Oryza sativa Japonica Group: one gene and its partner. The protein of the gene in region 2 binds, or shares a complex with, the protein of the main gene of each other region. Links are inferred from orthologs where the notes say so. Each region holds a gene or a part of one and is shown on either strand. Other genes may lie near its edges.

The links. Proteins that work in one complex are often made in the same cells at the same time.
Region 1: exosome complex component RRP4 homolog (region 2) and exosome complex component RRP41 homolog share a complex: the UniProt entries of both Arabidopsis thaliana proteins name them as parts of the RNA exosome complex. The link is inferred for Oryza sativa Japonica Group from reciprocal best matches to the Arabidopsis thaliana genes RRP4 and RRP41.

The regions. Positions count from the first base shown.
Region 1 is NC_089043.1:8,304,366-8,309,458, reverse strand, and holds the start of exosome complex component RRP41 homolog, read right to left. Parts: upstream 2,948-5,093; 5' UTR 2,799-2,947; coding exon 2,742-2,798; intron 2,648-2,741; coding exon 2,601-2,647; intron 2,494-2,600; coding exon 2,433-2,493; intron 1,818-2,432; coding exon 1,776-1,817; intron 1,699-1,775; coding exon 1,631-1,698; intron 1,088-1,630; coding exon 1,009-1,087; intron 924-1,008; coding exon 887-923; intron 561-886; coding exon 444-560; intron 362-443; coding exon 276-361; intron 57-275; coding exon 1-56. UniProt on the Arabidopsis thaliana protein: Non-catalytic component of the RNA exosome complex which has 3'->5' exoribonuclease activity and participates in a multitude of cellular RNA processing, maturation and degradation events.
Region 2 is NC_089038.1:26,540,809-26,545,901, forward strand, and holds the start of exosome complex component RRP4 homolog, read right to left. Parts: upstream 3,237-5,093; 5' UTR 3,083-3,236; coding exon 2,940-3,082; intron 2,808-2,939; coding exon 2,706-2,807; intron 2,017-2,705; coding exon 1,971-2,016; intron 1,644-1,970; coding exon 1,554-1,643; intron 807-1,553; coding exon 741-806; intron 1-740. UniProt on the Arabidopsis thaliana protein: Non-catalytic component of the RNA exosome complex which has 3'->5' exoribonuclease activity and participates in a multitude of cellular RNA processing, maturation and degradation events.

The DNA.
Region 1 (5,093 bases), on a different chromosome or scaffold from region 2:
TCAATTGCAAGGTCCATTACAGTTTCAAATGTATCCATTGGTAATTTTGCATCCATCTGAAAATTACCTTTTAAGCATTAGTCCTGCTTTGAGTGAATAACTAGAAGTCTTACAAAAAAAGATGCCCTTTAGTATACAAATAGCACAAGAAGTGTTTCAGAAGAGAGCACATTGTATGAGGAATTGTGGTTGTGCTGTTTGTGTGTATAGATGAAAGAACTAGGAGAATTCAAAAACTTGCAGCAATCAAAAAGTAAATCATGATATTTTGTGACCTGCAGAAGAGTAACTTTGTCCATCTTTGTAAGAAAGCCAACAGTGACATCTGGACCTCCAGCACTGTCTTCTATATAATTCAGATCTGAAATAGCATATTAAAATGATTGAGGTTTCTCAATGCTAGATGATTCTTTCTAGAGATAGAATATATAATAATGTCATACCAAGCAAAGGAGTAGAACACAGATAACCAGCACTGCAAGATGTAACAATGTCTCGCATGGGAATCCCAGCATCTGCAAGTGCTAATGTAGCAGCATTGATGCATGCAGCCCTTGTACCTGTTAAGTACACAACCATGTTCAAGATGTGTCAGAAATCAAAACCATTTGGAGAGCCGAGCCAAAATATTTCATAAGTAGGCAAATATGTTGTAGCTGGACTAAGCAACAAAAAAGAACACATTGGAATTGGTAGGCATTGCAAGTGTATGTATCGTCGTTTAGCAAAGTACAGATTTAATCAGCCTCTTTTCTGGACACAAGATAGCCTTGTATTGCTTTGGTTTGTCAAAGGAAAAAAAAGAATTATGTCATAAATAATGGACAGAATCTCCAAGGCATATAGATTGGACATCGGAGCTAAAAAGATGTGAAAGTGCACTCACCACCATCAGCTTGAAGAACTTGGACAAATATATCAATCTGTAAGCATAATAAACATTGACAGTGGATCAGGATACCATTAAAAACGCAAGTTCCTTGAAGTTACTGAATCCAAGGAACTCACCTGTGAACGTGGCATTAAATGTGTTAAAATGCTTGCCTCCATTGTTTGCCGGATAACAAGTGAAATTTCTGTTGATCGCCTGTCACATGATTGCAGCATTAATGGTCTAGCTTGCTACTACAGTTTTGTAAAATGGGACATTAAGTACATGTTTATGCAATTCAAATTAGAACTGATTTAATTGCAAGATCTGATATGCTAGAGGTCCCAAAGGTTCCTTTGACACACACTATTTGATTAGAGAACACTTGTGTGAAAACAGATTCAAACATAACAAAAAAAATTGGGCATGTTTGCTTTGATGCCAAAATCAACCTTGCCAAAACTTGGCACTACCAAAATTAGGCCATTTACTGTGATGTTCGCCTGTTCAGTGAGGAAATTTCTACCGTAAATCAAATTTTCTTATGAAAAGACATTGGGATATTTGGGCTTTTTTATCTTGGCAAATTTTGGTAGCATTGGAAATGGTAGCAAAACCAACATGCCCATTACTTGCTGCAACGCCAGCAGACAGTTCTGTTACTTTTATCCAAATCTAACTAATAAAAAACAATCCATTACTATAAACAAATGGGTTTAATTTTTTTTATCAAATTTTGTTCTTCAAGCTGAAATGTACCTGTCACCCTTTGGCTTTCTCCTTCGATCCCCAGTACTAAAATCTGCCATCCTATACTCACAACGCACCTGCAGACACATTTCTTAGGGATGCATCCTACAGAAGAGTTTTGATGCTGAATGTGTGTGGACAAATGAAACATTACCAAAGCATCTTTGCTGTTGACTTGCTGACCTTTGTTCTGGACCTGAATGAGCCCAAAAGTACAAAAAAAAAATCATGAGATAACAATTAGTTAACCTTTTGACTAACCATGCCTTTCTAAGGTGGGGGAGAAAAAAGGATATGAGAAAGCAATAGCAGAGCAACACAATGAAGAACTGCTGGAGGGATCAGGCGCATCCCTTTAGGCCATGTTCGGCTAATCCCACCAATAAGGGGATTGAAGGGGATAAATTCCACACCTCCCCCTCAATCCCTCCCTCTTGGCCTTCTTGGAGATTAACCGAACAAGCCCTTAGCAAAGAAAGCAAGAACTTCCAACTTACAATATACAATGTCTCGCTGAGGAACCATAACCACATGTTTTACCGCAAAATTCATCCTAATGGTTTTGAGTCCTCAGACATGTTAGACTTAACTGCTTTTCCCCCAAAAAAAAAGCATTAATCAATTTTATTAACCATCAAGACATTTCATCATGCATTCTGAAAAAGCACTGCAAAAAGTTGGTCTGTTTTGTTGAGGTATAACATAGGCATGAAAGTAAATTCCACAGGGACGATTCATCAAACATTTCATGTACATGGCCTATCTATCGTCTAATGCATGAGAAATCACAGTAATCAGGGTGAGCAGCAACCTCTCGAGGGCCGTAGACAGCGGCAATGACCCTGGTGTTGCCCATCTCGAACAGCGCCGATCTGCGCAAACGAACAATCACAAATTACACAGCACAAACAGAACAACACCAGCAACGAAACTACAATGGGATAGTTCTGATTCCATTGTCGTCGGAGCATCTCCTCACCCGTCTGCCCTGGCGACGACGCCCACCTCGCCCTTGAGCTGCCGCATCTGCGTGATACCCAGCCCGTGTAAGCCATGCCTGCGATTGAACAAGTGGAGGGGAAACTGGAAAGAGGATGGAGGAGAAGAGGGTAGGGGTCACCTCGTTGGGGCGCCGGCCGTCGACGCGGAAGCCGGTGAGAGGGTTCACGTACTCCATCGCCGGAGGAGCTCTACCTCTCTCTCCTAGCCTCTGTTGACGAGACAGCGAGGGGTTTCCGCCGCCGGCGATGAGCTCGTGGCTCGCCTCGTCTTCTGGGGAGCAGAGCTCGGAGGTTGGCGCGGCGGCGGCGGAGAGTGGAGGGGGGCGAGCGAGGCAGTGAGACGTCGAGGGCTAAGAGGCATGGAGGCCCAATAATTTGTCCATGTGTGGCCTACTCACCTGGCCCAAATTTAGGGTGAAACTCTCTCAGTGGTAGCCCATTTAACATTCCTCTCATTTTTACATCGAGTTTAATTGATAACCTTAAGTCGCAATACCAGAAATCATCGTCCCTAATCTTAGCAAGACAGAACAAATCAGGTCCTATGATAATATAATAATATAGTTGGTTAGTTTTTCTGACATGGCATCTTATATAAAAAGAAATAAAAAACGCACATGTAAGTAGCTACCTCACCTAGTCCCAACCTCTTTCCTTTCCTCAAGTTTGGGGAGGAGCACGAGTGGGGAAGTGATAGCTCGAGGGTTAAGCCCCGGTTTGATTCAGCTTAGAATTATTATAATCTAGATTATTATGAATAAGTTGAAACAAACAGATAGCTTATTATGATATGTTATTATAATCTATAAGCCATATTACTATAATCTGGTAATCCACTCTGTCAGGGTTACGGATAAGATATACCCTCTACACTTGGATATATGTTGTATACCGATACGGTATATCTGCGCGTATACGAATGTTTCTTGTACACGTTAAGGAAATCTATCACATGATAGAAGCAGAATCCGCATGTGGAAGAAATCCTACTCAGGCAAGACTGGGTCGTTACTATATCGTGAGGGGTCCGGTACTTCCGAGTCCAGCTTGGAGGATAACTAACCCGCGATCTAAAAGGGACCCCCCGGAAGGACCTAAGGCATTGAATTTCACCGCTGACACATCCACCTCAGCCTACGAAGTCGGAGCCTACGGGAGCCAAGCCGCCGGGTGATCTAGTCGAACCAACTCGACTACGGTCTCGTCGGTATCATCGAGTTCCGCTATTCCTTTTGTAATCTGTGGTTTCCATCATATAATCCCATATCAACTGGATTAGGGCTATTACCTATCAAGGGGCCTGAACCAGTATAATCTTTGTTTTATGCTTGTTTGATGTCGTACTACATAGATCCTCGTACCAACGTACCCCAATACCCTCTATATCTGGTCTACGGGTATCCACCGTCGACACACTCTAAAGGTGCTTTTTTTAGATTATTGGGTGGCTAACAGCTAATAATCTAGAGAAACAAACAGCTAACATCTTATTATATGTCGGTTTACAGTAATCTGACTCAATAGTCTAGATTACAATAATCTGAAGTTGAAACAAACAAGGCCTAAGTGGCATGGACAATAATTTGTCAATGTGAGGTCCACTCACATTTAGAGTGAAACTCTGAGTGGTAGCAAAAGAGTTGTTTTTAGCCGAGGCAAAAATTTGACGGTAATTTACACCGATTTACGTTTCAAAGCAGGGCTGAGGTTGCCGATTAACAAACAACTTGTGCCAATATATTTCATAGGCTGTGTCTATTTGTCAATTGAATGATTTTTTTTTCTTACCTATCGTTCACTTTTTGTCAACACTAGATCAATATCCAATTGCTCATATTTTGGTTTCTTTTCTTTCTCCAGACAAACAATATTCTAACACCAATGTCCAAATTTATGATCCCTATAACTATAAGCATAAAATTGCATCTAGATTCGTTGGATTCATAAAAACAAAGAAAAAAGAATGCTGTAGCTCTTTTATACTAATGTTGCGCTTTTCTTTATTATATGCAAGCTTAGGACCTATTTAGGGCTTGTTCGGATCGAGGGATTCGAGGGATTCATGGAGGAAAAATGGAGGATTTCGATTCCTATAGAAATTAGTACTGTTTATGCATTCGGAACGGAGGATTCTTATTTAGGAAAAATAGAGGAAACTTTCCTACGGTGGTAATTTCATAGGAAAACTGCAGGGAAAAAAAATCCAGTCAAACCTCTTTGTTTGCGTTCCCATTGCGTAGGATCGAGGCAAATGAAGCCATGATGCCACTAATGTAAGGCTTGAGCATCATTAGGCTTCTTCTTTTTATTATTTAGTGCTATTATTTAGGATAAGACTATGGTTAACTCTCTAATCAGCTTTGCACATATCATCGTTTCCTGTTTTCCCATGGTTCATCTTGACATCCTCCGTTCCTATGAAATTCCTGTATTTTCAAATCATATGTTTTACACATGCATTCCTATCGTAT
Region 2 (5,093 bases):
AAATTAGTATCTATGACAAAATGTAGAAATATAAATGGGAAATTCGATTTCAAATATGACCAAGTCCCTAGGCTAGAATAATAGATAAAGAAGTATGGGACATTGAAATTTGACCTCACAAACAAAAAATAGTAAACAAAATACAAAATGCTTGATTCAGGCATCCTTTTGTAATCTGCAAGCAAAATGCCTTAAGAGTGGAAGAAATTTCTCCAGAACTAACTAATGCATTCACAGAAAAAAAAAATGTTCAGAAAAATGTGCCAAGTTGAACTGCTGCATTATTCATGGATGTTTGGTGCTAATCAAAATATAGATACATAGGCGACTAGCATAAACAGTTGGTAAAAAATGGTTTTGATAGATGATGAATTAAGTGCATTAAATGAGCAGGTTGAGACTGTTTGCCACTCAATAGGTGTGGATTTACCACTCAACAGAAAGTAACTGATAATCTGCTACCCAATAGTCAATGCACACGCACACTTGATGATTTGCCACTATCACCATTTGGTTTGCATGCTTCCCTCCAGGCCGATCTAGAAGGGGTAGAACGCGGATCATCATTATGTGTGTCTATTGAGAGGCATATTATCATACCTTCTACGGAATGGCAGATACTCAAGTGCACATCTATTGCGTGGCCTAAGTCAAAACCCCTATCAAAATTAAAACCCATTCCAGCACCAAACAAGTTAGTCCTTCTACCTTCAGAGAGAAAGGATAAGTACAATACTTACACAGATAACATCATTTTCTTCAAAAATTGTCCGCATATTAAGTTCATCGACAGCAGTTCTCCTTCTCTAACAATGGGGACAGGGAAAATGCATTAACTAGAATACTAGAGAAAAACGAGAAAATAAATAATGAAATTTGTAATAAAATAACAGTGTCCATCATTTGTTTCTTTGAACATGACAAAATATGTAAACTGTCAAGCAACATTCCAACGATGTCATCATAGTGTATAATTTTCCAAAACAGTAAAATGAATCATTTCTATGTGGCCATAGTGTTTATATGGTGCCATCTATTCAATGGACACCCAGCTAGAGTGACGCTAGTGGATAGACAGCATTGACCCTGACGCACTAGCACGTAACATGCCACCATGTTTCTTCAAACTTGTATTTTCTTTGGTCATTTACATGAAAATTGGTTCAGTTGGTGTTTTTATTCAAATACAATGCTGATCTTGAGCAGTGCTTCTATGCTTTATATCTCCAAGTGAAATAGAATAGTTTTCATTAAAGTATAATTCAAAATTTTAAATGGAATAGTCATCTTTCATCTTTCAACAATGCAAAAGCTAAACTTCTAAGTGAAACAGAATGGCTTTCAATGAATTCAGTGTTTTAAGATAACTAAGGAGACTAGAAAAGGTGCTTCAACGAATGCTGAATGCGTGAAATATCCTTTGTTGTAGTACTCCATATCATTTATTTTCCAGACTGGTATAACAGGAAGATGTAGCTGTGTTCAGCCATCTGACATCCCACAAACTTTGGATATTATAAGCTTTAAGGTACAAAAAAATGAGAAAACTGTACCTGAATTCCATCGGGTAAATTCATAGAAGAAAGCATCAAAACAGCATCTTGGCTAAAATTTATCTCCAACCTCCAGCGTTTAGGTGCAATCTTGAGAAACAAAAATCACGACAGTAGGTTATTTATCTTTTTTAATAGATTTGCATAACATGGATGTTGAACTGACATAATAATAAAGATAGCAGTAGCTGATTTTGTGAAGATGTGACTATAATATTAAACCAGATTTACCAAAACTACCTTACTCCAATTTATGCATATATTATCAGGACTGTCAAAATACTAAGAAATTCTAGCAACTTTTAACTAAATAATCATATCCAGCAAAATGAAGTTTTTATCCCTAAAATGATATTCATGGACCAAAATCAGTAAGAAGAATGTCCAAAGGGTGCCATAAAGCATAATTGTCAGTACCTCAATAACACGGCCAACTATGATATCACCAACCTCCGGCTTATACCTAAAAAGGTCAGAGAGAAAATGGACTAAGAATTGACACGCTCATTCAGATGAAGCTCCCCTCGCTTCCTCTCCACCAACAGAAATCACACGAGCAATTCTTACATTCAGATTGTCCAGACATTCAAAACCAGAAACCAAATAGTTTTAAATAAAAGTAGCTAGGACATTGTATTTTGGTAGCAGAACTCATTACGAACTTGTAAAGTAATTCAAAGTATGTCTCTTCCATGGTAGCAAACTTTTAATGAATTCATAAAGAAGTTGTAATGGTCTGTACCAATCATTTCCACAGCCAAAATATATCAAATCTATGGTTTGATTTGGTGCAAATTACAGGCTCAGAACAAATCCAGCTGCAGCACAGTATATCACAAGTTGTTACCACTGCCTGAGTGCTTCGAAATTGAATCCATAATCCCCATTCTACATATACTCCATCAGTCCATCAACATCCACCCCACAAAATCTACTACTGGACTCGGTACAATAACATAAACCCCGCTCTCATCTCGGAAGCTAGTCCTATAACAAAACGCCCAGGGAAAATACCATTGTTCTGCCAGAGTTATCCAATAAAGGAGCACGCAAATGAACCGCTTTTCAAGGTTCATAAGAAACGGGTAAAACCGCTGGAAAATTGATTCTATGATACGTCAGTGAATCCGAGGAAGGTTAGAGCTTGAGTACCTCGCCCTAAGCGTCCGCACGTACACCAGCTTGTTGACCCGCTCCACCACGCCGCACAGCGTCGCCACCACCTCCCCGTCCTGATCCGACGTCCCATGCCCCCTGCGCGCAGAGAGAGAGAGGAAAACGAGAAACCCCCCATCAGTCCAGCCGTACTGCCGCCACACACGAAAGCTAATACGAGATTGGGAGGGGGGGGGGGGAGAGACAAGGGGGGAAGTGCCTAGCTCTCACTTGAGAATGTTGTCCTCGTCGTTGACGGGGATGGTGTCCGCGACGGTGACGGCGGCGGCGGGGGCGACGGTCTGGAGCTCGTGGAGCGCGGCCTCGAGGCGCACCCTCTGGGTCTGGTTCAGCGAGAGCTGGAGGTCCCTCATGGCGGGCGGCCTCGCGAGCACGCAGGTAGGCGCGGAGGAAGCGGGAGGAGTAGGGTAGAGTAGAGGGTGGCGCGGCGGAAGGGAAGCGGATCGGCAAAAACCCTAGTAAAACCTGCCCAAATCCGGCGCGGGTTCGGCCGGTCTCGAGGAACACGGAGGCGCAGCGCAGCCGCCGCCACGGCAATGCAAGCCTACAGCCTACAATGGGCCGGAAGCCCAGAAAAGGATCGCGATGCTCGCGATGTTGGTTGACATGGGCTTTTTGGGCCGATGTTTAACAGTGCTTGACATCATGGGCCTTTTCACTCACTGGATGTGTTTTATGAACGAACTCGGAACTTCTATTCAGATTCAGAAAAGAGAAATCACATTAACAGACACTTAAATATACAAATTAACCAAATTATTATTATCATATCTTACACACGTTGTTAGTAACCATTTCTTAACACGGTATGCATGTTTTACTTTGGAATATGGGATGCGCAAGATATTTTCGTTCTGTTTTTATTCTTTTTCTTTTTAGCTGCAGATATAGCTAAGAGAATTTGTATGCTCTGCTTGGGCTGTGTTTTTCAACTCTTATCAAGTTGTTTCCGTTTCATATGGAAATGAAATGGACGTCTCTTTTCTCCGAGAGTAACAGGCGAAGCATTCCCGTCCATAAGTTCATCCGAAAATTCCTTAGGAAGAGCTTATTTGTGGACGAGCATGGTTTGTGTCTTGTAGCTGGGAAGGTGACCTTTTCCAAAACAGTATACGTACCTCATCCTGTCCATGTCCTGAAGTTAAGACCTTGTTTAGATAGGAATTAAAACTTTTAGTGCCTATCACATCGGATGTTTGGATGCTAATTATAAATATTAAACGTAGACTATTAATAAAATCCATTCTATAACTCTAGACTAATTTACGACACGAATCTATTAAGCCTAATTAATCTATGATTAGCATATGTGATGCTACAGTAAACATGTGCTAATTATGAATTAATTAGTCTTAAAAAATTTGTCACGCGAATTAGTTCTCATTTATGTAATTAGCTTTATAAGTAGTATATGTTTAATACTCCAAATTGATCCGATATGATAGGGACTAAAGTTGTCCCTGATCCAAATACCACTTAACCTGCTTTAACTCTAGTGAACTGTGGCCGCTTCTGCTAGATCCCCTGTATACATCGCATCACTTCGCGACCTCTGAATGTGATACTCAATAATTCGTCCACAGGGATCAGTAGTAGTGATTGGATGGATCCCCTGTGCCGTGTTCGTCGTGGCTCTCAGCTCTTGAATGAATCAGACAAAAGATGTGGTGAAATATTGTACTGGTACATCATTAGAAGGCTCACCGTTCCAATCAGTGGGTAGAACTGTGTGCACGGTTGCATCAATCTTCTTTTCGTGCCAACCCGGGACCTGGACAGCATGAGTGACCCCGTTTGTCCATAAACGCAAGGCCCCAGCACCGAGAGACGAAGACACCTGTTTACCTCCAAAACAACAGGATTCAAAGCTGGCTTTGTTCTGAAGGACAGTGTTGCTGTCGGTTGCGAGCTGGGACCAATATTAGTCGACCTGTTGCGAACTGATTTGTGCAAATTTGGGTGGTCTTGTAGACGTCTTTTGCGCTAATTCTGAGCTAGTAGGAGTATCACATTGGATGTGTACGACCGATCGATCAAGCGTGCTTTTTTTTTTCTTCTTATTTTTCTTATGGTCGTCAGATCTGAAAAGAACTGTCGGCCGGTAATGCCGGTAATCAGTGAGGAATCAGTACCCGATGCAGCAGCAGTACCAGCTGCCTGTGCCTCCTCGGAGCAAATGGTACATGTCCCAGTATATGCTAGTGCAATTATGCTACTCGAGTAAAAGAAAAAAAGTAATGTCAGTAGATATGGTTTGTGTTCTGGAAGATGCTTGATTGCTTGCCTAATGGGGTGACTGGAAAGTACTTAGATAGCGAAGGACTAGACATAAGACATGGACTCGGAGGCTTGATACGGAAGTCA